3 linked regions of the Anolis sagrei genome follow. The protein of the gene in region 2 interacts with the protein of the main gene of each other region in a pairwise test. Links are inferred from orthologs where the notes say so. Each region holds a gene or a part of one and is shown on either strand. Other genes may lie near its edges. The genes, in order: PLEKHN1, TAX1BP1 and GABARAPL1.

Region 1 (9,881 bases), on a different chromosome or scaffold from region 2:
TCCAGCCATGCAACGGGAACCATAGAATCGGGCCAAACTTCCCACACAGAACCCCCATGCTTTGAAGGGACTCGTTGACATGAGCCTCCCTCCAGCCTCGCACGCTCTCCCTCACCGGCAAACACACACCATGCTGCCATGCAACAAGAACAATAGAATTGGGCCAAACTTTCCACACAGAACCCCCATGCTTTGAAGGAACTCGCCAGCGTGAACCTCCCTCCAGCCTTGCATGCTCTCCCTCACCGGCAAACACACACCATGCTGCCATGCAACGGGCGCATAAGAATTGAGCCAAACTTCCTACACAGAACCCCCATGCTTTGAAGGAACTTGCCAACGTGAGCCTCCCTCCAGCCTCGCACGCTCTCCCTCGCCGGCAAATGCACACCATGCTGCCATGCAATGGGCACAATAGAATTGGGCCAAACTTCCTACACAGAACCCCCATGCCTTGAAGGGACTCGTTGACATGAGCCTCCCTCCAGCCTCACACACTCTCCCTCGCCTGCTCTCCCCTCTCCTCTCCGAATCTCAGAAACGTCAGGAGAGAATGCTTCTAGAACATGACCATATTGCCTGAAAAACCTACAACAACCCAGTGATTCCAGCCATGAAAGCCTTCGACAACACAATAGTGACCTACCTATGAATGAGACAAAGGAAGATGTAAAAACAAACAAGTGTCGTATACGTGATAAGATAGCCACCCCACGAAAGCTCGTCGTACTTACTTTTCCAGGGATATACTGGAGTATCTTGTCGGAGGTGACATCCCTCTCCTGCCCTGGTTCGAAACCAAAAAGGCCGGCTAGTTTCTTCTTACTGTCTTGTCTGGAAAGCAATTAAAGGGAAAGAACATAGTTGAGATCAAGGCGAGCAAACAAAGCCAATCAGGAAAGGCATGGGGTGAAATCGGTAACTGGATCACAAGGCTCTTAGGAGGCCATCAGGAACCAAAACAGGTGTCGTTGCCTTTCTCCCCTCTTTGTTTGATTTGGCCCATCTGCAAAATGCTTGCTGAGCGCTTCCCTGATAAGTTGGCAGCTTAGAAGGACTCTTAAGGAACAATCTATAAAGTTTGGTCCAGATCCATCATTGTTTGAGTCCACAGTGCTCTCTGGATGTCAGTGAACTATAAATCCTTGCAACTACAACTCCTAATTGACAAGGTCTATTTCCCCCAAATTCCACCAGTGTTCACATTTGGGCATATTGAGTATTTGTGCCAAATTTGGTCCAGATCCATCATTGTTTGAGTCCACAGTGCTCTTTGGATGTAGGGCAACTACAACTCCCAAACTCAAGGTCAATGCCCACCAAACCCTTCCAATATTTTCTGTTGGTCGTGGGAGTTCTGTGCACCAAGTTTGGTTCAATTCCATCGTTGGTGGAGTTCAGAATGCTCTTTAATTGTAGGTGAACTATAAATCCCTGCAACGACAACTTCCAAATGTCAAGCTCTATTTTCCCACAAATTCCTCCAGTGCTCACATTTGGGCATATTGAGTATTTGTGCCAAGTTTGGTCCAGATCCAACATTTTTTGAGTCCACAGTGCTCTCTGGATGTCAGTGAACTACAACTCCCAAACTCAAGATCAATACCCACCAAACCCTTCCACTATTTTCTGCTGGTCATGGGAGTTCTGTGCACCAAGTTTGGTTCAATTCCATTGTTGGTGGAGTACAGAATGCTCTTTAATGTAGGTGAACTATAAATCCCAGCAACTACAACTTCCAATCGACAAGGTCTATTTTCACCAAACTCCATCAGTGCTCACAATTGGGTATATTGAGTATTGGTGTCATGTTTGGTCCAGATCCATCTTTGTTTGAGTCCACAGTGCTCTCTGAATGTAGGTGAACTACAACTTCCAGACTCAAGGCCCATGCCCACCAAACCCGTCCAGGATTTTCTGTTGGTCGTGGGAGTTCTGTGCACCAAGTTTTGTTCAAGTCCATCGTAGCTGGAAATCCGAATGTTCTTTTATTGTAGGTGAACTATAAATCCCTGCAACTACAACTTCCAAATGTCAAGCTCTGTTTTCCCCCAAACTCCTCCAGTGCCAAGTTTGGTCCAGATCCATCATTTTGGTTCAATTCCATCATTAGTGGAGTACAGAATGCTCTTTGATTGTAGGTGAACTATAAATCCCAGCAACTACAACTTCCAATTGACAAGGTCTATTTTCACCAAACTCCATCAGTGTTCACAATTGGGAATATTGAGTATTGGTGCCATGTTTGGTCCAGATCCATCTTTGTTTGAGTCCACAGTGCTCTCTGAATGTAGGTGAACTATAACTCCCAAAACCAAGGTCAATGCCCACCAAACCCTTCCAGGATTTTCTGCTGGTCATGGGAGTTCTGTGTATCAGGTTTGGTTCAAGTCCATCGTCGCTGGAAATCAGTATGCTCTTTTATTGTAGGTGTTACTGGAGTTCAGAATGCTCTTTTATTGTAGGTGCACTATAAATCCCGGCAACTACAAGTCCTAACTGACAAGGTCTACTTTCATCAAACTCCATCAGTGTGTTCACAATTGGATATATTGAGTATTGGCGACATGTTTGGTCCAGATCTATCTTTGTTTGAGTCCGCGGTGCTCTCTGAATGTAGGTGAACTACAACTTCCAAACTCAAGGCCCATGCCCACCAAACCCTTCCAGGATTTTTTGTTGGTCATGGGAGTTCTGTGTGCCAAGTTTGGTTTGATTCCATCACTGGTGGAGTTCAGAACACTCTTCGATCGCAGGTGAACTATAAATCCCAGATCCTTCATTGTTTGAGTCCACAGTGCTCTCTGAATGTCGGTGAACTACAGCTCCAAAACTCAAGGTCAATGCCCACCAACCCCTTCCAGTGTTTTCTGTTGGTCATGTGAGTTCTGTGTGCCAAGTTTGGTTCAATTCCATCACTGGTGAAGTTCAGAATACTCTTTGATTGTAGGTGAACTATACATCCCAGCAACTACAACTCCCAAATCACAAAATCAACCCCCACCCAAACCCAACCAGCATTCGAATTATCACATGTCCCTGCTTCGCAGGAAAAGAATTTGCAAGGTGGTGACTTTGAAGGCTTTGTTTACAAAGTCGTGTTAGGATAAGAAATATTTCCTCCCATACCGGAGCGGATCAGAATAGTGTGACTAAAATACCAGAAAATTTGACAAAAATCTGTGACTATAAAAAAAAATGCAGCATCAACGAAAACAATGCGCGCTCACAGCCCATGCGTACAGAATCATGTGAGTTGTAGCATTGTTAGGAGAGAGTGTTAGCCATGTGGGTATATTGATACAGAACCTTTATATATAATAAAAGTGAATGTTTGTATGTGGGTATGTATGGGGCAACGTTCTGATTGGTTGCCACTGTGGTACAATTTGCATATGGTGTCTGATTGCCCAGCCTCAACATTCGAACATTCTTTGGAGGCAGAGAGGGGAAAAGTAAGGGTCTGAGGCTGTCGGGACCAAACCAATGACGGATCAGGACCAAACTTGGCACACAGAGGCCCAATGGCCCACTTTACAACCTGGTGTGGTTTAGGGCAGGATGGGCCGCGAATGATGGGATTTGTAGTACCTTCACCCAATTTACTTCCCACAGAGCATTGTAGCCCCTACAAATCACAGACCAGGCCCAGAGTACTCATGAACCACTCTACATCTTGAAGTAGTTCTAAGGGGGATGGACCATGGATGATGGGACTTGCAGTATCTTTACTCACTTACTGAGGCGACTGGCTCACCAAAGTGGGAGTTGTAGTTTACCCTGCATCCAGAGAACACACCGTACCCCACCGGAACTGACCCCCCATAGTGGGAGTTGTAGTTCACCCTACAGCTAGGGAACACACTGAACCCCACCAATGATGGACCTGGACCAAACTAGGGAACACACAGAACCCCCACCTTCTGAAGAGGTTTGAGGGGACTGACTCACCAAAGTGGGAGTTGTAGTTCACTCTGCAGCGAGAGAGCACACTGAACCTCTTGCTTGAGAACACAAAAGTCAACCCAACCTAAGTTACTACCAACCAACCCGACCTGGACCAAACTTGGCACACAGGACCCCCACCTTCTGAAGAGGTTTGAGGGGACTGACTCACCAAAGTGGGAGTTGTAGTTTACCCTACAGCCAGAGAGCACACTGAACCCCTTGCTTGGGAACACAAAGGTCAACCGAACCTGAGCTACTACCAACCAACCTGACCTGGACCAAACTTGGCACCCCCCAGCTTCTGAAGAGGTTTGAGAGGACTGACTCCCCAAAGTGGGAGTTGTAGTTTACTCTGCAACCAGAGAGCACACTGAACCCCTTGCTTGGGAACACAAAAGTCAACCCAACCTGAGTTACTACCAACCAACCCGACCTGGACCAAACTTGGCACACAGGACCCCCACCTTCTGAAGGGGCTTGCGGCAACTGACTCCCCAAAGTGGGAGTTGTAGTTTACTCTGCAACCAGAGACAACAGAATTGAGTCAAACTGAATCTCACCCATGATGGACCTGGACCAAACTCAGGGTCCATAACCCCCATGTCTACCTCCACCTTCTAGAGGGGTTTGAGGGGCAACCAGAGAGCACACTGAACCCCTTGCTTGGGAACACAAAAGTCAACCCAACCTGAGCTACTACCAACCAACTCGACCTGGACCAAACTTGGCACACAGGACCCCCACCTTCTGAAGGGGTTTGAGGGGACTGACTCCCCAAAGTGGGAGTTGTAGTTTACCCTGCAACCAGAGAGCACACTGAACCCCTTGCTTGGGAATACAAAGGTCAACCCAACCAGAGCTACTACCAACCAACTCGACCAAACTTGGCACACATAACCTCCATAACTAACTCAATCTACCAGAGGAGCCTGACGGAACTGACACTCCATAGTGGGAGTTGTAGTTCACCGTACAGCTAGGGAACACACTGAACCCCACGAATGATGGACCTGGACCAAACTTGGCACACAGAACCCCCACCTTCTGAAGGGATTTGAGGGGACTGACTCACCAAAGTGGGAGTTGTAGTTTACCCTGCAACCAGAGAACACACTGAACCCCACCGGAACTGACGCCCCATAGTGGGAGTTGTAGTTCACCCTACAGCTAGGGAACACACTGAACCCCACCAATGATGGACCTGGACCAAACTTGGCACACAGGACCCCCACCTTCTGAAGGGGTTTGAGGGACTGACTCTCCAAAGTGGGAGTTGTAGTTTGCTCTGCAGCCAGAGAGCACACTGAACCCCACCGGCGATCCATCTAGAGCTGTGGTTCCCAGTCTTCCTAATTCCTAATCTATGAGAACTTCTCACGGTTGTTCGCGATCGGTCCCGAGAAAGGGACTCGCCCGATTTTTCTCCCTTCGGGACGACCCAAGACGAAAAATCCCTTTGTAAGACAAACTAGACAAAGAAGTGTTCCAAAGGCCACTTCGGGTACGATACTCACTCTTTCCTGAGCGAGGGCTTCCTCGAAAAGGAATATCTGAGCCTCCCCGAGGCGTGGGGAACACAAGCCATGTTCCCCATGTTGTTGCGGGTGGTTCAAGCGCCTGCTCCACGACTCTCTAATCCAGGAACAGCTGGGCAGCAGAGCACAGGAGCCAAGGGAGGAGGCCAAAAGGAGGAGGAGGAGGAGAGAGTGTTTTCCTTCCCAGCCTAAGCAAGGCAGGCAGAGGAGGTGTGTGTTTGTGTGTCAGTGTGTGGATCTCTCGATGTGTCACTCAGACATTCCCCACTTCCTCCTGCCAGGGTGACTCTTTGGGGTGTGTGAGCTGGGAATCAACAGGCTTTCTTCGCCCAAGGCGGTTGGCTTGGCCGACTTCTCCTCCTCCTCTTTGGCTTTGCTTTGTCTCGATCACACAAAGCCGGGACACTCGAGGAGCAACTGGAGGGACAGACTCTCCCCTTCCTCCAGGCACGACCCCCCACCCGCAAAAAATATATCCCAGACACAGGGACTCCTTGCCGGTTTCACCTGTAGCTAGCCAAACAAAGGAAGGCCAAGGGAGTTTCGTCCAAAGGTGTGATTCAGGTTTTGTGTCTCGCTCTTGCTGACTGTGCAACTCAAAACAAAGCCTGCTCTACTCTTAGGTGGAAGAGAAGGCAAACACAACGCGTGGAGCAGAAAGTAGAAAAGTGACTTGGTGTCCGACCGCCTCCCCAAAGTGTTGGTACTACGGTTATATTCCAGAAGCCAAAAGAGATGGGCCAAAACTAACAAAATGAAGTTCAACAGGGACAAATGCAAGATACTCCACTTAGGCAGGAAAAACAAAATGCAAAGATACAAAATGGGAGAATGAGACCTGGCTCAAGAGCAGTACGTGTGGAAAAGATCTTGGAGTCCTCGTGGACAACAAGTTCAACATGAGCCAGGAATGTGATGTGGCGGCAAAAAAAGCCAATGGGATTTTGGCCTGTATCAAGAGGAGCATAGTGTCTAGATCTAAGGAAGTCCTGCTCCCCATGCTCTATTCCGCTTTGGTTAGACCACTTTACCTGGAATATTGTGTCCAATTCTGGGCACCACAATTCAAGAGAGATATTGACAAGCTGGAATGTGTCCAGAGGAGGGTGACTCAAATGATCAAGGGTCTGGAGAACAAGCCCTATGAGGAGCGGCTTAGGGAACTGGGCATGTTTAGCCTGAAGAAGAGAAGGCTGAGAGGAGATATGATAGCCATGTATAATATGTGTGAGAGGAAGCCACAGGGAGGAGGAGGGAGCAAGCTTGTTTTCTGCTTCCTTGCAGACTAGGATGCAACTACAAGAAAGGAGATTCCATCTGAATACGAGGAAGAACTTCCTGACTGTGAGAGCCGTTCAGCAGGGGAACTCTCTGCCCCAGAGTGTGGTGCAGGCTCCTTCTTTGGAAGCTTTTAAACAGAGGCTGGATGACCATCTGTCAGGGGTGATTTGAATGCAATATTCCTGCTTCTTGGCAGAATGGGGTTGGACTGGATGGCCCAGGAGGTTTCTTCCAACTCTTTGATTCTATGATTCTAAGCATTCTCTTCTGACGTTTCGCCTCCATCGATGGCAGGCCTCCTCCGAGGTTGTGAGGTCTGTTGGAAACTAGGAAAATTGGGTTTATATATCTCTGGAATGATGTCCAGGGTGGGAGAATGGACTCTCAAGTGTGAATGTTGACATTTCCAATTGACATTATCAAAGGCTTTCTCTGCGTCAAGGGCCAGGAACATCACTTTCTTTTGGTTATTAATTTCATAGTATTCAATCAAATCTGTTATTATTCTAACATTTTCCTTCTGTTGTCTGTTCGGCAAGAATCCTGATTGTTCTTCCTTAATTCTTGTCTTGAGCAAATTTTTAAGTCTTTCTGCAATCACAAAGCTAAATATTTTATAATCTAAGTTCAGCGACGAAATGGGCCTATAATTTTTGACTCTTTCTGGATCAGCATTTTCTTTATGTATCACTGAAATGTTTGCTTGTCACCATGAATTTTGTATTTCTTTGGATTCTCTGACCTTATTCATAATTTTTTTCAAATACGGTGTTAGTTCTTCTTGAACATTGGCCAGTTTGATTACCATCCCAACAAAGGATGCCCCTAGGCAGGAGGGCTTTGATTACGTTTCCTTGTCCCGGTGAAGGGAGTTGGACTGGATGGCCTTAAGTATTTTCTGTCTGCCAAGTTGAGTTCAATTCCATCATTGGTGGAGTCCAGAATGCTCTTTGATTGTAGGTGAACTGTAAATCCCGGAAACTACAACTCCCAAATGTTAAGGTCTATTTCCCTCAAACTCCATCTGTGTTCATATTTGGGCATATGGGATATCCATGCCAAGTTTGGTCCAGATCCATCATCGTTTGAGTCCACAGTGCTCTCTGGATGTAGGTGAACTACAACTCCCAAACTCAAGGTCAATGCCCACCAAACCCTTCCAGTGTTTTCTGTTGGTCATGGGAGTTCTGTGCGCCAAGTTTGGTTCAATTCCATCGTTGGTGGAGATCAGAATGCTCTTTGATTGTAGGTGAACTATAAATCCTAGCAACTACAACTCCCAAACTCAAAGTTAATGCCCACCAAACCCTTGTAGTGTTTTCTCTTGGTCGGGGGAGTTCTGTGTGCCAAGTTTGGTTCAATTCCATCGTTGGTGGAGATCAGAATGTTCTTTGAGTGTAGGTGAACTATAAATCCTAGCAACTACAACTCCCAAACTCAAGGTCAATGCCCACCAAACCCTTGTAGTGTTTTCTCTTGGTCAGGGGAGTTCTGTGTGACACGTTTGGTTCAATTCCATCATTGGTGGAGTTCAGCATGCTCTTTGGTTGTAGGTGAACTCTACATCCCAGGAACTACAACTTGCATATGTCAAGGTCTATTTTCCCCCAAGAGCGCCCCCTGGGCAAAATCAACTCTACCGCGAATGCTTACTTCGCGTAATGGTTGCGCCGCCCCTGTCGGAGTCCCATCCCAGTGTGGCTAGTTTGCAGAAGCAAGGCATGATGGGCTATTCCATTGTTTCAAGGGATGCCCGACTCATTTCCGCAGAAGATGATTCAGAATTCTCATTGGATGGGAACTCCAGTCTTGTTCGTCTGCAAAAACAAGCAGGCGAGGTGCACGCTTGGGCTTTGGAGGCTTCTGCAAGCACGAAGCTCTTCGCATGGTCCGCTGAGGAAGGAAGAGGCGAGCATCTCTACGAATCGAAGAAGGCTGAGGGGAGGATGAGTAAAGTTACTTTTTTGAAAGTTTTTCTTTAAAGCTCTTTTCAGCAGCTTAGGTTGAGGTCAAACCCAGAACTCGCTGCCTTCAAGCTGATCTGACCTGCAGCAGGGAGTTCCTGAGTTCTATATTGCCCCGCTTGGGCTAACCTGTATGAACGCGGCCATAGCAGCAGTTGCAACTCAGAAGCCTTCTTATTACTTCGCTTTCTTTCCACTCCTATCATTGTACTTAATCCCCCCAATAAAATTAATTAGTTAATTAATTAATTAATTAATTATCAATTAATTAATCAATTAACCTTTTTCCTCTCCATAGTGTTATTTTGTATCCTTTTATTGCCTCTAACCTCTCTCGGCATGAACCTTTCCACTCCTGCGCTGCAGATGGCTGCTGGTCCGCCCGGGATGCGATTTCCCTTAAACCGCGGATACGGAAACCCATCGGAAAATTAGGAAAAATCTTGGGTGGCTGCTGGTGGAGGACTTAATGTCAGGGGAAAACCTTTACCTACGGGAATGGCAATGGGCAAATTCCACACCAATGGAGAGAGTAAGGAACACTGGGGTGCCTGTGGTGGAGGATTTAATGTCAGAGGAAAACCTTTACCTACGGGAAAGGCAATGGGCAAATTCCACACCAATGGAGAGAGTAAGAAACACTGGGGTGCCTGTGGTGGAGGACTTAATGGCAGGGGAAAACCTTTACCTTTACCTATGGGAAAGGCAATGTGTAAATTCCACACCAATAGAGAGAATAAGAAACACTGGGGTACCTGTGGTGGAGGACTTAATGGCAGGGGAAAACCTTTACCTTTACCTATGGGAAAGGCAATGTGTAAATTCCACACCAATAGAGAGAATAAGAAACACTGGGGTACCTGTGGTGGAGGACTTAATGTCAGGGGAAAACCTTTACCTTTACCTATGGGAGAGGCAATGGGCAAATTCCACACCAATGGAGAGAGTAAGGAACCCTGGGGTGCCTGTGGTGGAGGACTTAATGTCAGGGGAAAACCTTTACCTATGGGAGAGGCAATGGGCAAATTCCACACCAATGGAGAGAGTAAGGAACCCTGGGGTGCCTGTGGTGGAGGACTTAATGTCAGGGGAAAACCTTTACCTATGGGAGAGGCAATGGGCAAATTCCACACCAATGGAGAGAGTAAGAAAC
Region 2 (9,881 bases):
CAGTCAGGCATTTGACATGTTTTTCAGGCTCTTTGGGCCTCATTAACTCATCCCAAATGGTTTAGAAATGTTTACATCTCTTAAATCTCTTTTAACTCATATTTTAATATATTTTGGTTTATTCAAATTATTTTAAAGTTTCAAACTCTTTTAACCTTAATCCTGTTATTATTTTTTGTATAGGACAGGTATAATTACTGTAATCAAAACATAAATAACTTATTCACCATACATGCTATTACAAGCTAAATACACCCTTCTGGTTTCCAGTTGAAAAAAAAGCTAATAAGTATTCTTGTAATTCATCTCTAAATCTGCTACAATTTTATCAAGGATATCTAATCCCTGAAGAATATGCGTAGAGCTTTACAGGGAAAATCTGAAACTGAAAGAAGTTTCCCTTCACTAAAGCATATACAATTCAACAAGGAAACATGGTTACGTGATTTAAAAGATTCATTTACAGGCCACATAACTCTCTTATCAGCAAGGAGTAGCCACAAGTGTTTGGTTACTTAGTAAATAAATAATCATGAATGACTTGAATGCATATACACCCCAAAAATCCACTACGCTAGGCCTCCACAACCTGTGACCCTCAAGGTGTTTGAGAGATTGTTTCCAGAATTCCTGATTTTTGGACAAGTTGGCTAGGGCTTCTGGTAGTTGGGAGTTCCAAAGCCCTCTGAAGCAAAAGCTATTTGGAACAGAGCAAGCTATATACCTCATCAATTGCAGATTTGAAAGCAGAAACCAAACTTTAGCCAAGAGAACACTGCTATACTGATCGCACTATCTTGTTTCCTCCCTCTGCCTGCTTATAGTCAAGGTGGGGGATAAGTTCTTACAGGGTTGGATGCACTTCATTTTGCTGTTTTTTCTCCAGAATTTGTGTCTGTATGTCCATTCAAGGCATTTCATACAAGAAAACCTATCATATGGTTTTCTTGGCAAAATTTGTTGAGAGAAGGGGTTGCCGTGGCTTTCTTGAGAGGCTAAGAGAGTGTGACTGGCCCAAAGTCACCCAACGGGTTTCCATGGCCAAGTGAAGATTTGAACCCTGTTCCCAACACTCAAAAACCACTATACCACATTGGCTTTGCCTGCTATGTTACCTCAGGGAAAAGGTGAGAGGGAAAGGGATTGATGTTCACCCTTTCTGTGTCAGTCCGTACTTGCCTCCACTTTGGGTCTTTCAGCCACAAGGGCAATTAATAAAGTTTGATCCCACTTTAACTGCCATGGCTCAATGCTGTAGATTCAAGGGAGTTGTGGTTTTCAGAATATCTTTAGACTGATTGTGCCTTACCAAACTACAAATCCTATGTTGAAGCAGAGCCAGGCTGCATTATATCTACAGTGTAGATGCAGCCATAATCCAATGCACAAACTAGCACATCATTTGGGCCCCGTCTACTGAATTGCTTCAGTGAAAGTAATATTGCTATTGCATGTTGGGAAATCCATACAATAGTCTCTCCATTAAGTGGAGCTCTCAAACAACCAGCAGAAATATCAAAAATATATAATTTAAATAAAAGAGCTGTTTTCATAATATAGTAAAACAGAATTATGACTGTGTGACATTAAGTTTCTTTTTTTTTTGCTTTTATAATTACTGTATTTAATATTACTGTATTTACTCTATTCTAATGTACCACTGAATCTAATGTGCCCCTCAATTTTCAAACTCTGAAACCAAAAAAAAGAAAAAGGATTTGCTGGTAAATATAATGTGCAGTAGCAAAAATGCACTCTTTGTAATCTGGTCAAAATTACATGCTTAGATTTGATTTTTTAAAAACAAAAGTGTTAGAACACCAAGGCTTTTAGCAATTGAAAGGAAAACCTTAGGATGCATCTGTGCTGTAAAATGAATCCACTTTAACAGCCTTGGCTCAATGTTATGAAATCATGTATCTTTACAAGGTCTTGAGCTTTCTTTACCAAAGAATGCTAGTGGCTTGCCAAACTACAAATTCCAGGACTGCATAGCATTAAGCCTGGCAATCAAATTTGAGGTGACATCCCTCAAATAAGAGCTCCAGGTGCAACTTCTGAAACAGCTTCCTCTTTTGCTTTGGATCAGCACCAAGATTACCAAATTACGCAAATCCAATGCACAACCTAGTGCAGCCAAAAAAGGTAAGCATTACATTCAAGTAAATATTATAATATCCAGTCACTACAGAGTTTGTGGCATGGTATAGTATGGTATGGAGTTTATTATCAGTTAGGCCTATTTTTAATAGCACCTCTCAAACAACCAGAAACTAAATTTATCTGGCATCCAAAATAATAAAATTTTACAATTTTAAACCAAGGTGCCATTCTATCCCCAATGTTCTTTAATGTTTACTATGAAGCCACTGGGAGAGATCATCCATAAACATGGGCAAGGTGATCTCTCTGAGTGGCTTTATAGTAAATATTAAAGAACATTGGGGATAGAATGGCACCTTGGTTAAAAATTGTAAAATATGCTGATGACACCAAAATATATTTCTCCGCGCCTTCAAAAACAGCTTCAGCTATGGATACTGTGTCTCCTCTGAATGAATGCCTGGAGCAGGTAATGGGCTGGATGAGGAAGAACAAATTGAAACTGAATTCAGACAAAAAAGAATTGGTTGCCAACAAGGGTCCTAATCTGGGGATGGAGATATGTCAATCAGTTCTGGATGGGTTTACTGTCTTCACAGCTTGGGAGTACTCCTGAATCTGTCTCTCCAAATGTCAGCCCAGGTAGATGCAATGGTCAGGAGTGCTTACTATCACCTTTGGCTGATACACTAGCTGTGCTCCTTCCTAGATTTGGAGGACCTGAAGATGGTAGTGCACGTGGCTAGTAATCTCAAAGTTGGAAATTACTAGTCATAGATTTATTCCTGCAATCTTACCCAGTCAGTCTTTAAACACATATACACACAGAAAACACATATACACAGACTGGGCCACAGCAACATGTGGCAGGGGACGGCTAGTCTATATAAATAAAAATGTAATGTTCGTTTGTGAGATTAACAGAACTCAAAAACCACTGGACGAATTGACACCAAATTTGGACACAAGACACCTAACAACCCAATGTATGTTCTTCACTTAAAAAATTGATTTTGTCATTTGGGAGTTGTAGTTGCTGGGATTCATAATTCACCTACAATCAAAGAGCATACTGAACCCCACCAACAATGGAATTGAACCAAACTTGGCACACAGTTCTCCCATGACCAACAGAAAATACTGGAAGGGTTTGGTGGGTAGTGTCCTTTGGTTTTGGAGATCACTGTGGACTCAAACAACGATGGATCTGGACCAAACTCTACACGAATACTCAATATGTCCAAATGTGAACACTGCTGGAGTTTGGGGAAAATAGAATCTTGACATTTGGAACTTGTAGTTGCTGGGATTTATAGTTCACCTACAATCACGGAGCATTCTGAACCCCACCAATGATAGAATTGGGCCAAACTTCCCACACAGAACCCCCCCCCCCCCCGTGGGTCACAGCAACGCGGGGCAGGGGACGGCTAGTAATAAATAAAAGATTGGGAAGCCAAGTCCCATAAGGAATGGCTGAAGGAGCCAGGTGTATTTGGCCTGGTGATGCAAAGTTTAAGAAGGCATGACATGACAGCCATATTTAATTGTTTGAAACAATGTCACATTGAGGACGGAACAATCTTGATTTCTGCTTCTCTGGAGACAAAGACACGGAGCAATGGATTCAAATGACAGGAAAATGCAAGATACTCCACTTTGGCAGGAAAAACAAAATGTAAAGATACTGAATGGGGGACACCTGGCTCGAGAGCAGTACGTGTGAAAAAGATCTTGGAGTCCTCGTGGACAACAAGTTAAACATGAGCCAACAATGTGATGTGGCGGCAAAAAAAGCCAATGGGATTTTGGCCTGCATCCGTAGAAGCATAGTATCTAGATCCAGGGAAGTAATGCTACCCCTTTTCTGCCTTGGTTAGATGACACCTGGAATATTGTGTCCAATTCTGGGCACCACAATTGAAGAGAGATGTTGACAAGCTGGAATGTATCCAGAGGAGGGCAACTAAAATGATCAAGGGTCTGTAAAACAAGCCTTATGAGGAGCAGCTTAAGGAGCTGGGCATGTTTAGCCTGAAGAAGAGAAGGCTGAGAGGGGATATGATAGCCATGTATAAATATGTGAGAGGAAGTCACAGGGAGGAGGGAGCAAGCTTGTTTTCTGCTGCCCTGGAGACTAGGATGCGGAACAATGGCTTCAAACTACAAGAGAGGAGATTCCATCTGAACATGAGAAAGAACTTCCTGACTGTGAGAGCCGTTCAGCAGTGGAACTCCCTGCCCCGGAGTGTGGTGGAGGCTCCTTCTTTGGAGGTTTTTAAACAGAGGCTAGATGGCCATCTATCAGGGGTGCTTTGAATGCAATATCCCTGCTTCTTGACAGGGGGTGGACTGGATGGCCCATGAGGTCTCTTCCAATTCTATGATTCTATGATTTCTGATGGGAAGAGCTCTTCCACATTATAATATACGTACTGCAGCAGCGTGTGCTGGAGTCCCCTGTATTTCCTTCCACGTCGCGTCTTCCAGCGACAATCTCCTCCTTCCCCTCCATGCTAAGCTTTTCTCCTCCTTTCGCCCGGCCATAATCCTCTCACAACTTACATAACGCCCCACACACAACAGATTAAGCACAGGCCCCTTTCGAGACTTCTCCCTCGGCCTCGTCAGGCGGCTCCTACCTGGCTTCCCCCTCCAAGCCAAGGTTAACCGCCTCCTTTGGAAGCAAACCCTCTGCTTTAGACAACAGGCCTGGTCCCTCACCTTCCGTCTCTCTCGGAAAGGGGGGCGGGGAATTGTTACCACAAACGTGACAGGAGAAAAAGAACAGGCCGCACTAACCCCTCACAACCTCGCCAAACACACTCCAAGTGCCAAGAAACAGCCGTCAACCGACTAGGCCTCTCACCTCCTCAGACGCCGAAGGCTTCAACAACTGCGAACGCCAGCCGCCGCCATTACCGCCCTGGAACCCCGCCCCCTCCGAGACGCCAGCGTCACTTCCGGCCCGCGGCGCTCGGGCTTTCCCCCGTCCTCTGCGCGTGACGTCAGCGAATCGACGTCGTGCGTGTTTGCGCGTCATTCCTGCGTCCGGCCCTCTCATAACATCGCCCCCTCCCCTCGGAAAAGAGTGGTATTCCTCGTTACTCTTACACGTAATTAATCCAACCTGCACCTTCAAACTGCATTATATGGTCCACGTAGATCAGGTATGGGGAAACTTGGGCCCTCCAGGTGTTTGGGACTCCAACTCCCACCATTCCTAACAGCCTCAGGCCCCTTTCTTTTCCCCCTCAGCGGCTTAAGCGGCTGAGGGGGAAAAGGAAGGGGGCTGAGGCTGTTAGGAATGCTGGGAGTTGGAGTCCCAAACTCCTGGAGGACTCAAGTTTCCCCATACCTGATATAGATTCATATAATGCAGCTCAATGCAGTTAAAAGGCATGTGACAATATAATGCAGTTTCAAACGGTGTAAATGGGATTATTGGTGTTTACAATACTGCAAGGGAAATATTTATTATTTTATTTATTTATTATTTACGATATTTATTGGGAAGTCGGATCTGGCCACGGTGGCCCACACTCTTGTTACATCCTGGATAGATTACTGCAATGCACTCTACGTGGGGTTGCCTTTGAAGACTGTTCGGAAATTTCAATTAGTCCAGCGGGAGGCAGCCAGACTGCTCACCGGAGCGTCATACAAGGAGCATACCACCCCCCTGTTATGTCAGCTCCACTGGCTGCCGATCCAGTTCCGAGCATAATTCAAAGTGCTGGTTTTGGCCTACAAAACCCTATACGGTTCCGGCCCAGCGTATCTGTCCGAACGCATCTCCCTCTACGTCCCACCTCGGAGTCTGAGATCCTCTGGGGAGGCCCTGCTCTCGGCCCTGCCTCTGTCACAAGTGAGATTGGCGGGGACGAGGAGCAGGGCCTTCTCAGTAGTGGCTCCTCACCTATGGAATTCACTCCCTGGGGAAATTAGATCAGCAACATCCCTCCTTTCCTTCAGAAAGAAATTAAAAACATGGATGTGGGACCAGGCGTTTGGGCAATCTGGCAGATGAACAAAGGACTGTGACGACGGATAGGAATGGACAATTGTGGAACTAAATATGGACTCTGAGCTGGCGAACACTGTGTCTGAGATTGGCTATCGATTGTGAGATATATTGTTGTTTTAATTGTTGACCATTTAATTGCTGGTTTTATATGTTATTGTATTTATGTAGGCACCAAGATGCGCCTTTTTGTAAGCCGCCCTGAGTCCCCCCTCGGGGGTTGAGAAGGGCGGGGTAGAAGTATACGAAATAAATTAAATAAATAAACCGGCCTTTCTCAGCCATACGGCGACTCAAGGCGGGTTACAGATTAGCACAATTCGATGCCAGGCATTCATAAAAGTGCAATTAAAAACAACCAACATTACAATATAAGTCATATATAAACACCGTTAAAACATATAATCATTGGTGTCATCCTGCTAAAAATCCAGTAAGTATAAGTATTAAAAAAACCTCTAAAATTACAACAGCAAAACAACAGAGAGGAAACAATCTGTGACATCTAATCACCTCTCAACAAAAGATTGCCCCAGGCACTGCCAGGCCATCAAATGCTAATCAAGGTGGTCAGTTGAAACATTCACACCTAGCTCCATTAGACAAGAGTCCTTTGTCCCACTCTGGTCATTCCACAGATATATAAACCCTTTTTTCCTAGTTCCAACAGATCTCACTACCTCTGAGGATGCTTGCCATAGATGCAGGCAAAACGTCAGGAGAGAATGCCTGTAGAACATGGCCATATAGCCTGAAAAAAGCCTTCGACAATACGTTATCCAGTAACATCGTCGGGTCATTCCATGTTCATCATTCATAGTTCCGTGTTATCTATTCTGCATTCTCAAAAGCTTGCTCAAAAGCCAGGTTTTTTTTTTCAGAAAGTCAGGAGGGAGGGGGCCGATCTAATATCCCTGGGAAGGGAGTTCCATAGCCAGGGGGGCCACTGTCCTTCATCTCTGCCAATCACACTTGTGAGGCAGGCGGGATCAAGAGCAGGGCCTCCCCAGACAATCCTAGATGGTTCATAGGACATACGTTCGGATAGGTAAGCTGGGCCGGAATCCTTTAGGGATGGTTTAATACTGGGTTGAGGCCAATGTAGATCATATGTGCCATATGTATCTCATCAGAATATGTAAAAAATGTTTTGGAATATGGTTTAGAATAATTTGTATATTTTTAACTTAAAATAGCTAGGAATGCTTTTTTATATAACTCTAAGGAAACTTTTTCTTCAAAATGATTCCGCCTCAACTGGTCCAATTCATCTTCTTACATCATTCCTCATTCTTTAGCTTTGGTGGGGTTGCCTTATTCTCTTGGGCTCCATCTATGCTGACCATTTAATGCAGTTCGCAGCTAGCTTCAGATTGCGGCGGCCGAACAAAAAACTCCCACAAAAGCACATGAAGGGAAGCCCTTAATGTGCATCACGATTCTGTACTTTGTGTAATCACCATCTGGGCCTCAAGCTGATTTGAGGATTTCCTATGTAATCATCCACACAGCATGAGCACTTTCTTCAATACTGGTTTGAAAATGCATTAAATTATAAATGTACATGTGACCATGGTTGAGTACAGGCAGTCCCCAACTTACAAATATCCTGCTTATAAATGATTCATAGTTAAAAACAGGAGCAAGGCAACAGGAAGAGAGGGAAAATTCACTCATAAAAGAGTAATCTCTTGAAGGAGATTCCCCCTTAACATTAAGAAGAACTTCCTAACTGTGAGAGCTGTTCAGCAGTGGAACTCTGTGCCCCAGAGTGTGGTGGAGGCTCCTTCTTTGGAGGCTTTTAAACAGAAGCTGGATAGCCATGTGTTGGGGGTGCTTTGACAATTTTCCTGCTTCTTTAAGCAAAAATTAGAGTAAAGCTAAAATAACACCAAACTAAGTATCATGCTGAAGTACAACCAGAAGAACATCCCTATAGAATTTAAAGATTAAAAATTTTTAGGTGAAATAATCGATGCACACTTTTAAGCCCAATTGACCAGGAACCAGTAGCACGCTGGACTGAAATGAGGGACATTTCCATGGAGAATGCAAAAAGACACTTTCTGCAGCCAAAAAGACCCCAGAGTCAATGGATGACATGAAACTCTTCATGTTTATGTTGCTAGTATTGTTATTTTTGCCTATGTTGCGATTCTGTATGTGCTGGTGTTGATACTTGGAACCAGCCTGACTCCGTTCGAGGTGATAGAGTGGTATATAAATAAAGTTTATTATTATTTATTATTATTATTATTATTATTATTATTATTATTGGCAGGGGTTGGACTGGATGGCCCATGAGGTCTCTTCCAACTCTATTATTCTATAATCATGTGGAAAAGGTGTCTCTACTGAAGCTTTAGAGCCAGTCCTGTTTCCTCAACAAACCATTTTTAAAAAAAATCCAATTATCACAGGGACAGAAAGTGAGGTGAAATCTTCTGAACAGTGGCACAAGCAGCAAAACAAACAGCATGGGTGTGTTAGCTCTTCCCTATGCTATCCAAAGTGTGTGTGTGTGTGTATACACACAGTAGAGTCTCACTTATCCAACCTTCACTTATCCAATGTTCTGTATTATCCAATTTAGTCCAGGGTCTGAGAAAGAAAGAACTCTTGTCTGTTTTGGTGCTAAATTCATAAATACAGTAATTACTACATAACGTTACAGTGTATTGAACTCCTTTTTCTCTCCTTTACCTTCAAGTGGTTCCCTTCATGAAGCATGGAATGAAGATTTGACGTAGGTTCTCCTTTGACTTTCCTTCCCCCATTATATTTTTTGGAACGGAGGAAACTTTCCCTACATCCTCAGGCAAAAGAAAAGAAAGGGGTTAAATAAAAAGGATGAAACCTCAGGAATGCCCTGACCGGATATAGAGCTGAGAATTTCCACTAGAAGTTGTGCAACTCAGAAACATAACATAATAGCCCAGGGTTTACCAGAAGAATTGAACCAGGTAGAAGAGCTCTACATTTTTTTCTTTCAACAGTTACAAAAGACAATATATTTTTATTTTACTCTCACTATCTGCATCATGTAATATAGTTCTCCAATGTATATAAAGCAGTAGAAAGAAATCTACACAGTTGTATAACAGAGCTTGGGTTGATGGAAGCATAAAGCATAATAATGATACTGTGTAATGGTACCAATGCAAAGCAGTACAGATCAATGCTTCATTATGGATGTAGTCTGGCTTTTGCGCCAGTCTTCCCAAAAAGCCTCGGGCTACTTTGAAATGTGAAAGGTATATATCAGTCATCACTTAAACAGGAGTTCATTTTTGGTGTTGCTATACAGTGTGCTTTATACGTCAGTTTTTCATCTAAAATAATTGAGCAGAATATTAATCATGACATCACTTAGTATCTGCCTTTTTCAGTCATGAACGATGCTCCTGTTATAGACTCAATTAGACAATGTTTGATCCCTAGGTAGTAAAACTAATTGTGGTACACATACTTTTATAAAGATGGAAGGCATCCCTTAGGAACATATTAGAAATAACGTATTGCTAGTATCACCTACACAGAAGAAAATCCTATGTGTATTTTGGAGATCTTTGCCAACACTTAATTAGAATTGATGAACTAAATCTATTCAAAGGTTGCCAGGTTATTTAAATGAGTATTCGTGAGACTGAAGAAATGTGTGACTTTTCCCATAAGCACATAGGTGAGAGCAGACACATTAATTGTGTATGTGTGTATGTATGGGAGGGTGGAGCGTCAGAGGGAAAAGAAAGTC
Region 3 (9,881 bases), on a different chromosome or scaffold from region 2:
GCTTCCCACCTTGGGAGAAATACAGATAAAATCAACAAACAAATGCAGCTGACACAGAGTCAACTGTACTTATATCTTTATTGAATAGTCACCTTTACACTTAACACAGCAACACACACACCTACTGTGCTTGTCAGTAGTACTCCAAGGACTCTGCCAGCATCTGATCATACCAGGGATTAGATTTGGGACCTCAGGGCTGCAAAGTATGCACTCTGCCACTAAGCAATCGCATTCTCTTGTGAGATGTCACTGCAGAGGTGTCAGCTAGGCCCATTTCCCTTCTGATACAGCTTTGTAACTTTTTTCATTCTTCCTTTAATTGCAGCTCTTTACTGTCCAACAAATGCAACCAAATGTGCAAGGCTAGATAAATAGTTTAGTTTCCTAATTCCAACTACATGGCTTTTAATAGCTTCTCAACAACTGATCATGCAGCAGTGGGTATTTCTAGCCTTGTATCACTTATGCAATTTTGTTAACATGCCTATTTTTTTTAAAAAAATATCCCACCACGGAGCCTATATCCTGAGCAAGGTGTTTTTCAACAAGTGCCTGCTAACTGAACACACATTTAGCTTTCCTGTCCCCTCAGGCTTACAGATGGGATTTATACTTTTTGAAATCCAGCTTTATCTAGAGGTAGTTCTGAGAGATATCAGCAATATAGAGAATGCTGACTTTTGGAAATGTCTCCTGATTTTAAGAGACTTTAGTAGTGATTTATGATTGTCTGCACGCCCTATCCCTCTCCAAAATTTCTATCCTGTTTATAAACCTGGTCACGCCCAGCATTATTTTTCTAAAAAATTTAATTAGTACATTCGTCGTTGTGTTATTGTTAATGTGTATTGCTATTTTCTGTTTATGAGTTTTATTTATTGTTGTATTACTGTTGCTATGTCTTATTGTTGTATTGTGGGCTCGGCCTCATGTAAGCCGCACTGAGTCCCTTGGGGAGATGGTAGCGGGGTACAAATAAAGTATAATAATAATAATAATAATAATAATGTCTAGAAATCCTTATACAGGCAAACATGATAGATTTTGTAGGTTAGTTCTTAAACTAATTTTTTATATAAGTCAGGTACATTTTAACTGTAACTCCAGCCATTTTAATTCAGTTTTGGATAGCACAGCGAAGGGTTTGTAGCATTTGTTTTGCTGCCCATGCTCCTGTTCGAAAGATTTCATCTCACTTTACGTCCCTGAGATAATTGGATTTTGAAAAAATTGTCTTGTCCTAGAAACAAGGATTGCTGATAAAGCTTCAGTGGAGATACTTTTTCCCCATGATAACTTTCAGGAGTGAATTTCCCTTCTGAGAAGTAGATTTCATTTCACTTCCTCTTGTTGTTAACTAGATGCTGTAGATAAATTGGATATTTGTAACTTGAGGACTGCCTATAATGACTAATACAGCACAAAAGCCAACAGAGTACTAGTAAATAAAACATATTTGAATGAACAACTGAATGAAAAACTGCTGGTGATTTTCTACTACTGTGCTACAAATGACAACTCAGAACAAAATGAAATGGAAAGATGCAGAATGGGGGACGATGCCTGGCTTGATAGCAGCAGTATGTGTGAAAAAGATCTGGGAGTCCTTGTGGACAAGTTAAGCATGAGCCAAAAATGTGGTGGCAAAAAAAGCCAATGAAATTTTGGACTGCATAAATAGGAGTCTAGGGTCTATATCAGGGGTCCTCAAACTTTTTAAACAGAGAGCCAGGTGACAGTGCCTCAAACCGTTGGAGGGCTGGATTATAATTTGAAAAAAAAAACATGAATGAATTCCTATGCACACATCTTATTTGTAGTGCAAAAAACACCTAACAACAACACAATAATTAAGATGAACAATTTTAACAACTATAAACTTCTTAGCATTTCAATGGGAAATATGGGCCTACTTTTGGCTGATGAAATAGGATTGTTGTTCTTGTTGTTACTGTGTGCTTTTAAGTTGTTTCAGACTTTGGTTGACCCTGAGTAAGGGCCAGGTAAATGACCCTGGAGGGCCATATTTGGCCATCGGGCCTTAGTTTGAGGACCCCTGGTCTAGGTCCAGGGAAGTCATGCTCCCCCTTCTATTCTATTCTGCCTTGGTGAGAACCACACCTGGAATACTGTGTCCAATTCTGGGCACCACAACGGAAGGGAGATGTTGACAAGCTGGAATGTGTCCAGAGAAGGGTGACTAAAATGAAGGGTTTGGAGAACAAGCCCAATGAGGAGTGGCTTAAAGAGTGGGCTGAGAAGAAACATGATGAGGGCATATAGAAATATGTGAGGGGAAGTCATTGGAAGGAGGGAACAGGCTTGTTTTCTGCTGCCTTGGATACTAGGATGTGGAACAATGGCTTCAAACGACAGGAAAGGAGATTCCATCTGAACATTAGGAAGAATTTCCTGACTGTGAGAGCTGCTCGGCAGTGGAACTCTCTGCTCTGGAGTGTGGTGGAAACTCCTTCTTTGGAGGCTTTTAAACAGAGGCTGGATGGCCATCTGTTGGTGGGGCTTTGAATGAGTTTTTCCTGCTTCTTGGCAGGGGATTGGACTGGATGGCCCATGAGGTCTCTTCCAACTCTTTGATTCTATGAATTTCCTGACTGTGAGAGCCGTTTAGCAGTGGAACGGAGAGTGTTGGAGGGCTCCTTCTTTGGAGGCTTTTAAACAGATGCTGGATGGCCATCTATTGGTGGGGCTTTGAATGCGTTTTTCCTGCTTCTTGGCAGGGGGTTGGACTGGATGGCCCATGAGGCCTCTTCTATTATCCTGATTTCAAACCTGCTAGAACACTGGTTCTCAACCTTCCGAATGCCGTGACCCCTTCATCCAGTTCCTCATGTTGTGGTGACCCCCAACCATAACATTATTTTAATTGTTAATTCATAACTGTCATTTTGGTACTATTATGAATTGTAATGTAAATATCTGATATGTAGGATGTATTTGCATTCACTGGACCAAACTGGGCACAAATACATGATATGCCCAAATTTGAATACTGGTGAGATTGGGGAGGGGGGGGGGGGGGGAGGAATTGATTATGTCATTTGAGAGTTGTAGTTGCTGGGATTTATAGTTCATCTACAATCAGAGAGCATTCTGAACTCCACCAATGATAGAATTGAACCAAACTTGGCACACAGAACTCCCATGACCGAGAGAAAATGCTGGAAGGGTTTGGTGAGCATTGACCTTGAGTTTTGGACTTGTAGTTCACCTACATCCAGAAATCACTGTGGACTCAAACAATGGTGGATTTGCTAGGTTCTTGTGGGTTTTTTCGGGCTATAGAGCCATGTTCTAGAGGCATTTCTCCTGACGTTTCGCCTGCATCTATGGCAAGCATCCTCAGAGGTTGAGAAGGTCTGTTGGAAGTAGGAAAAATGGGTTTATATATCTGTGGAATGGCTGGGGTGGGGCAAGGAGCTCTTCCCTGCTGCAATTAGGTGTGAATGTTTAGCTGATCACCTTCATTAGCATTTGAAGGCCTGCCTGAGTCTGGGAAAATCTGTTGCTGGGAGGTGTTAATCTGTGCCTGGCTTTTCCTCTCTGTTGTTTAGCTGTTATAATTTTAGAGTTTTTTAATACTGGTAGCCAGATTTTGTTCATTTTCATGGTCTCTTCCTTTCTGTTGAAATTGTCCACATGCTTGTGGATTTCAATGGCTTCTCTGTGTAGTCTGACATGGTGGTTGGACCAAACTTCGCACAAGTACTCAATATGTCCAAATGTGAACACTGGTGGAGTTTGGGGAAAATAGACTTTGAGCTTTGAGAGTTGTAGTTACTGGGATTTATAGTTCACCTACAATCAAAGAGTATTCTGAACTCCACCAACGATAGAATTGGGCCAAACCTGGCACACAGAACCCCCATACTAACAGAAAATACTGTGTTTTCTGATGGTCTTTGGTGACCTCTCTGACGCCCCCTGGCGACCCCCCCCCCAGGGGTCCCGACCCCCAGGTTGAGAAATGCTGTGCTAGAAAGAAGGGCTATAATGCTACCAAAAAACCGGAAGCAAACATCCCCAGGATGCGGTCTAGCCGTAAGCTACTTGTTTGCTGACCAAAAGCAGTAGGTATGTGTGGGAAATACAGAAATATAGCAACACTTGCCACAGTGCCAAGGATTAGCCCTCCTGGGGCGCCTGCTTCGGGTTACTAAAGGTTACTTCGTCCCCCAGCCTTTGTCCTCCCCGCTTCCATGTTTAGGAAAGGGGAGAGGGGGAAACGGAGCTCCGCCCCTTTCGGCTCCCAAGCAGCACCCCGGCCAACGGAGGGGGGGGGCGCGAGGGGGATTAGAGGACAACAACAACAACAACAACAACGACGTCCGGTCTCAGTGGAGCTCTTTGAAGGACAACAGACACCCTGAAAATATAGACCCGCCCACCCATCCGCCTGTTCCCCTCCCCCCCCCCCCCCCTTCCACTCACAGGCACCCGGTCTGGATATTTCTTTCGGATCTTCTCCCCTTCTTTTTTCCTGTACTCGAAAGGATGGTCTTCCTTGTATTGGAACTTCATGTCTCAGGCGAACTCAGAACCCCTTCGCGACGGCGGCCTCCTTGCTTCTCTCTCTCTCTCTCTCTGTCTCCCTCCCTCCCTCGCTCAGCTGATCACAAGATTCACAACAAACACCCAGGGTTCAAGCCGGGCATTGTGACGTCACCGAGCTAAAAGCCCGCATCGGCCTCTGCCGCCCGCATTTTGGGACTGCACCATTTCTGCGCGGGGGGGGGGTGTAGGGGGTGGAATCAAAGGAGAGGCAGGCTCCTGCTTGAATCAAAGGGGGATACGTTTCTTGGGTGAAGGCCACACTAGAATCAGGAAAGCTTCCAAAAAATGATGCATCTCTTTTGTAAGTCATGATGTCTCATAGTGAAGGAAACAAACGAGTTATTATTATTATTATTAAACTTTATTTGTACCCCGCTAGCATCTCCCGAAGGACTCGATGCGGCTTACATAGGCCAAGGCCTCAAAACACAACACAATACAACACCTAAAGCAAATTAAAAACAGTTAAACAATATTAACAACAAGCAATAAACAATACATCAAGACACTATAAAACTGGGCCGGTCCAGAGTAATGGGTACAAGATTAAAAGTGCTGATGTGGCAGGAGGTATGTAGGATTATAAAGTAAGTGCAGTGTGCGGTGTGCAGCAATCTTAGTTCTACTAAAGTGCTTCTGGGACTTGGTATTGGAGATTCCTAATCTGGGAAGGCACATCGGAACAGCCAGGTCTTCAAGTTCTTTCTAAAGACTGCCAATGTAGGGGCCTGTCTAAGATCTTTTGGAGGGCGTTCCAGAGTCGGGGGGCCACCACGGAAAAGGCCCTGTCTCGAGTCTCCACCAAGCACGCCTGCGATGCAGGCGGAATCACGAGCAGGGCCTCTCTGGATGAACAAAGTGAATGTGTGGGTTCATAGAAAGAGATGCGGTCACGCAGGTAGGATGGTCCCAAACCGTTCAGGGCTTTGTAGGTAAGCACCTGCACCTCAAATTGGGCTCGGAAAATAAACAGCAGCCAGTGGAGCTCCTTGAACAGGAGGGTTGACCTCTCTCTGTAAGGAGCCCCAGTTAACATCCTGGCTGCTGCCCGTTGGACCAGTTGGAATTTCCGAGCCGTTTTCAAGGGCAGCCCCACGTAGAGTGCATTGCAGTAGTCCAATCTAGAGGTGACCAAGGCATGGAGTTGTAGTCCAGCATCGGGAGGGCCGCATCAGATGATTTGGGCCCCTTCTGCACTGCCCTTTAATCCGGTTGAAAGCAGACAGTCCATTTATTTATTTGTTTATTTATTTACTAGCTGTACCCGCCACGCGTGGCTGTGGCTAAGCTTCCCTCCCTCTTTCTCTTCTTTCTCTCATTCCTTCCTTCTCTTCCCTCCCTCCCTCCCCCCACCCCCACCTTTCTTTCCCTTCCTTTCTCTCTCTTCTTCCTTCTCTACCTATTCTTGGACTTGGACTTCTTGGACTTCATTTGAATGCATTTGAAGGATGTTCTAGATGCAAGGGGCCACCACCGAGAAGGCCCTCTCTCTCGTCCCCACCAACCGTGCTTGTGACGGAGGAGAACTTCCTGACTGTGAGAGCCATTCAGCAGTGGAACTCTCTGCCCCGGAGTGTGGTGGAGGCTCCTTCTTTGGAAGCTTTTAAACAGAGGCTGGATGGTCATCTGTCAGGGGTGCTTTGAATGCAATATTCCTGCTTCTTGGCAGGGGGTTGGACTGGATGGCCCATGAGGTCTCTTCCAACTCTTGGATTCTACGATTCTATTCTATACATATTGTTAATGAAAGTAAATAAATAACATTTCTTATTTAAACTGTTATGTTTATTCATATCCCATATGCATGGGGCAGGGGCGGCTCGTCCATTACGCGAAGTAAGTGGTCGCAGAACACTTTTTTTTGCCAGGGGCACAGAGGCGCTTCTGTAAATGCCCCTTGACTGCCACTTGAGGAGCGCCCCCTCAGCTCACAATAGCCCTAGCAGTCCGGGGGGAGCCTCGGCTTTCTTGCCTCGCTGCCGGGCGATCCTCTTCCCAAAGGGGCCGGGCCCTTGAGCCTCGCCTAGCCCCTCTTCTTCCTGCTCCACCTGGCCACCGGGTGCACAAGCAGAGCCAGTGCTCAATTGTTCTCCGCATTCGATCCCTTCCCCATGACCGGCTCCCTTTCCTGATCCCCGGCGCTCCACCCGCCTCCTCTCCTCTCCCCAATCCGCAGGTCGGCCAAGGAGCGGAGCCGCCATGCCTGGCCTACTTCGGGTCTGGAGGAGTGTCTGAAGACCCCAGCGTGCGCACCAAAAGTCTCTTCTCCTGACTTTCTCTTCAGCCATTGGGACCAAGAGAGAGAGAGAGAGAGCCCCTCCGGCTGGAGGTATCTCCCACCTCCGCTCCCTCCTTTGTTTTTGCACCTACCTTCAGGAAAGGTGGGCATCTCCACCTCTCCCTCTCTGGGTCCCAATGGCTGAGGAGAAAGTCAGGAGAAGAGGTGACTTTTGGTGCACACACCGGGGTCTTCAGGCATGCCTCTGGACCCAAAGCGGGCCAGGCAAGGGAGCAAGTGCGGCAAGTGTAGTTACTGAGATGTATAGTTCACCTACAATCAAAGAGCATTCTGAACTCCACCAATGATGGAATTGAACCAAATATGGCACACAGAACTCCCACCACAAACAGAAAATATATATCAATGATTGGTTGGGGGGGGGGGGCGCCAGATACTGTTTGCTTACCGTTGAAAATTACCTAGGGCCGCCTCTGGCATGGGGGTATTGGGATAACGATACAAAAGGTTTGCTGGGGTAGATCCTCTCTCATTCAGACTCAGCCTCCCCCCCGTCCCAAACAAAATCCTGGCTACGGGCCTGAATGTAAGTCTCTTGGAGTCTCCTTACGGAGAGAAAAAGTGGGGTATTCATCACAACAACGGGGCCGAAACGCCTTGGTTGCCTTTGTAATTGAAAGCCAAGGAGGGGAGGTTGTTTAGAAGGGGCTCCCCACGACCCCACTGCCAGCCCATGGAGGCCCGCATGAGGCTCCCTTCATCGGATGTTTTGTAAGGATGACCCAGCAGCAGCAACCCTCTCGATCGATGGCTTGTCTTCTGAGGCGACCTACATGCGGCTGTCACGCCCCCCTGCCCCCCTCCCTCCTCCTGCGTAAAGGCGGGTCTAGGCAGCGCCGCAAAAGGGAGGAGCGCGAGGAGACAGACGTCGAGACAGCCGCCGCCGCGTGACGCAGGGAGGCTTAGGCGAGGCTCCTTGGTGCAGCCCGGACGCATCTTGGCCAATGAGCTGTCCCTGCTGAGCCTGCGCCTGCCCAGGTCGGGGGATCGTCTCTGCCCCAAGGCTGAGCCTCGGAACACCACCACCACCAAACAACGACCTCGACATAGGATGACAGGGCTCTCGAGGATTTCTGTGGATTTGCTTGTTTTGAAGTTGTTTTTTAAAAAATAAATATAAGCCGCTCGAGTGTATTTGCCAAGGTCATGCTTAACCACTGTTTGCATTTCAAGAGACGTTTCCATCCTTGTTAATTGCCCTGCGTAGTCGCCTTGACAACCTTCTCCTCCTCTTCTCTCCCCTCTTCCTCTTCTTCTTCCTCCTCCTCCCCCTCCTCCACCTTTTCTTTCTCCTTCTTCTTCTTCCTCCTCTCCCTCCCTCTTCTCTTTTTTCCCTTCCTCCTCCTCTTCCCCCTCCCTCTTTTTCTCCTTCCCCTTCCCTTCTGCTTCCCTCCCTCCCTTTTCTTCCTCTTTTTCTCTTTCCTCCCTCTTCCTCTTCTTCTTCCTCCTCCTCCCCCTCCACCTTTTTTTCTCCTCTCCCTCCTCCTCCTCTCTCTCCCTCTTCCTTCTCTTTTTTTCCTTCCTCCTCCTCTTCCCTTTCCCCTTCTTCCTCTTCCCCTTCCTCTTTTTCTCCTTCCCCCTTCCCTTCTGCTTCCCTCCCTTTTCTTCCTCTTTTTCTCCTTCCTCCCCTCTTCCTCTTCTTCCTCCTCCTCCCCCCTCCACCTTTTTTCTCCTCTCCCTCCTCCTCCTCTCTCCTCCTCTTCCTTCTCTTATTTCCTTCCTCCTCTTCCCTTTCACCGCCTTCCTCTTCCGCCCTCCCCCTTTTTCTCCTTCCCCTTCCCTTCTGCTTCCCTCCCTCCCTTTTCTTCCTCTTTTTCTCTTTCCTCCCCCTCTTCCTCTTCTTCTTCTCCCCCCTCCACCTTTTTTCTCCTCCCCTTCCTCCTCCTCTCTCTCTCTCTCTTCCTTCTCTTTTTGCCTTCCTCCTCCTCTTCCCCCTCCACCTTTTTTTCTCCTCTCCCTCCTCCCCTCTCTCCCTCTTCCTTCTCTTATTTCCTTCCTCCTCCTCTTCCCTTTCCTCGTCTTCCTCCTTCTCTTCCCCCTCCCTCTTTTTCTCCTTCCCCCTTCCCTTCTGCTTCCCTATCTCCCTTTTCTTCCTCTTTTTTTCTTTCCCCCCTCTTCCTCTTCTTCCTCCTCCCCCTCCACCTTTTTTCTCCTCTCCTTCCTCCTCCTCTCTCCCCCTCTTCCTTCTCTTTTTTACTTTCTCCTCCTCTTCCCCCTCCTTTCCTCTTTTTCTCCTTCCCCCTTACCTTCTGCTTCCCTCCCTTTTCTTCCTCTTTTTCTCTTTCCTCCTCCCTCTCCTCTTCTCCTTTCCCTTCTTTTTCTTCTTCTACTCCTTCCTCCTCTCCCTTCTCTTGCTCTTCCCTCCCTTCTCTTTTTTTTATCTTCCTATTCTTTCCTCTCCCCCTCCTCTTCTTTTTCCTCTTTACATCCTGGTTTTTTTTTCTCTAAAAGAAAGAGGCCCATAGTGGCTTCCAGTAAAATCAGTATAATTTAAAACCTAAAAATATACAAAGCTTAAAATAGAATTAAATATTGATGGAATTGAAAACAAACTGTTGAAACTGACGACCCCTATGACAAATGATTGTATCATGACCTAAATCTTGACCTGAATTCCTATATTATATTTCTCTCTCTCTCTCTCTCTCTCTCTATATATATATATATGAGTTAAGCTGAACCGATCCTGTTAAATTGCTCTGTTTCCATGCTATTTCCTATGCTATTATACGTTTCTATCCACCTTTGAACCACTCTATCCTTTAACCAGTTTGAATAGTTCCCTTTTCCCCCCTCCTCCAAAAATTAGTTTGCTGTTGTTTGTTTATTATTGTTTATGCTGTTTTATGCTATTTTAACTGGCCATTGTTCTGTTTTTAATTGTATTTTGCCCTGGGCTTGACCCCATGTAAGCTGCCCCGAGTCCCTTCGGGGAGATGGAGGCAGGATAGAAAAATGAACGACTACTACTTCTTTCTTCTTTCTTCTTCTTGCTAAAACCACAGCA

Evidence for each region.
Region 1: the proteins of TAX1BP1 (region 2) and PLEKHN1 interact in binary tests that used the Homo sapiens proteins (3 or more experiments, as listed by UniProt). The two-hybrid records come from large-scale screens. The link is inferred for Anolis sagrei from reciprocal best matches to the Homo sapiens genes TAX1BP1 and PLEKHN1.
Region 3: the proteins of TAX1BP1 (region 2) and GABARAPL1 interact in binary tests that used the Homo sapiens proteins (3 or more experiments, as listed by UniProt). The link is inferred for Anolis sagrei from reciprocal best matches to the Homo sapiens genes TAX1BP1 and GABARAPL1.

What each region holds. Positions count from the first base shown.
Region 1 is NC_090033.1:3,760,808-3,770,688, reverse strand, and holds the start of PLEKHN1 (pleckstrin homology domain-containing family N member 1), read right to left. Parts: upstream 5,793-9,881; 5' UTR 5,543-5,792; coding exon 5,463-5,542; intron 835-5,462; coding exon 735-834; intron 1-734. UniProt on the Homo sapiens protein: Controls the stability of the leptin mRNA harboring an AU-rich element (ARE) in its 3' UTR, in cooperation with the RNA stabilizer ELAVL1.
Region 2 is NC_090026.1:90,669,531-90,679,411, forward strand, and holds the start of TAX1BP1 (tax1-binding protein 1), read right to left. Parts: upstream 5,080-9,881; 5' UTR 4,973-5,079; intron 1-4,972.
Region 3 is NC_090022.1:168,110,186-168,120,066, forward strand, and holds the start of GABARAPL1 (gamma-aminobutyric acid receptor-associated protein-like 1), read right to left. Parts: upstream 4,702-9,881; 5' UTR 4,543-4,701; coding exon 4,453-4,542; intron 1-4,452. UniProt on the Homo sapiens protein: Ubiquitin-like modifier that increases cell-surface expression of kappa-type opioid receptor through facilitating anterograde intracellular trafficking of the receptor. Involved in formation of autophagosomal vacuoles.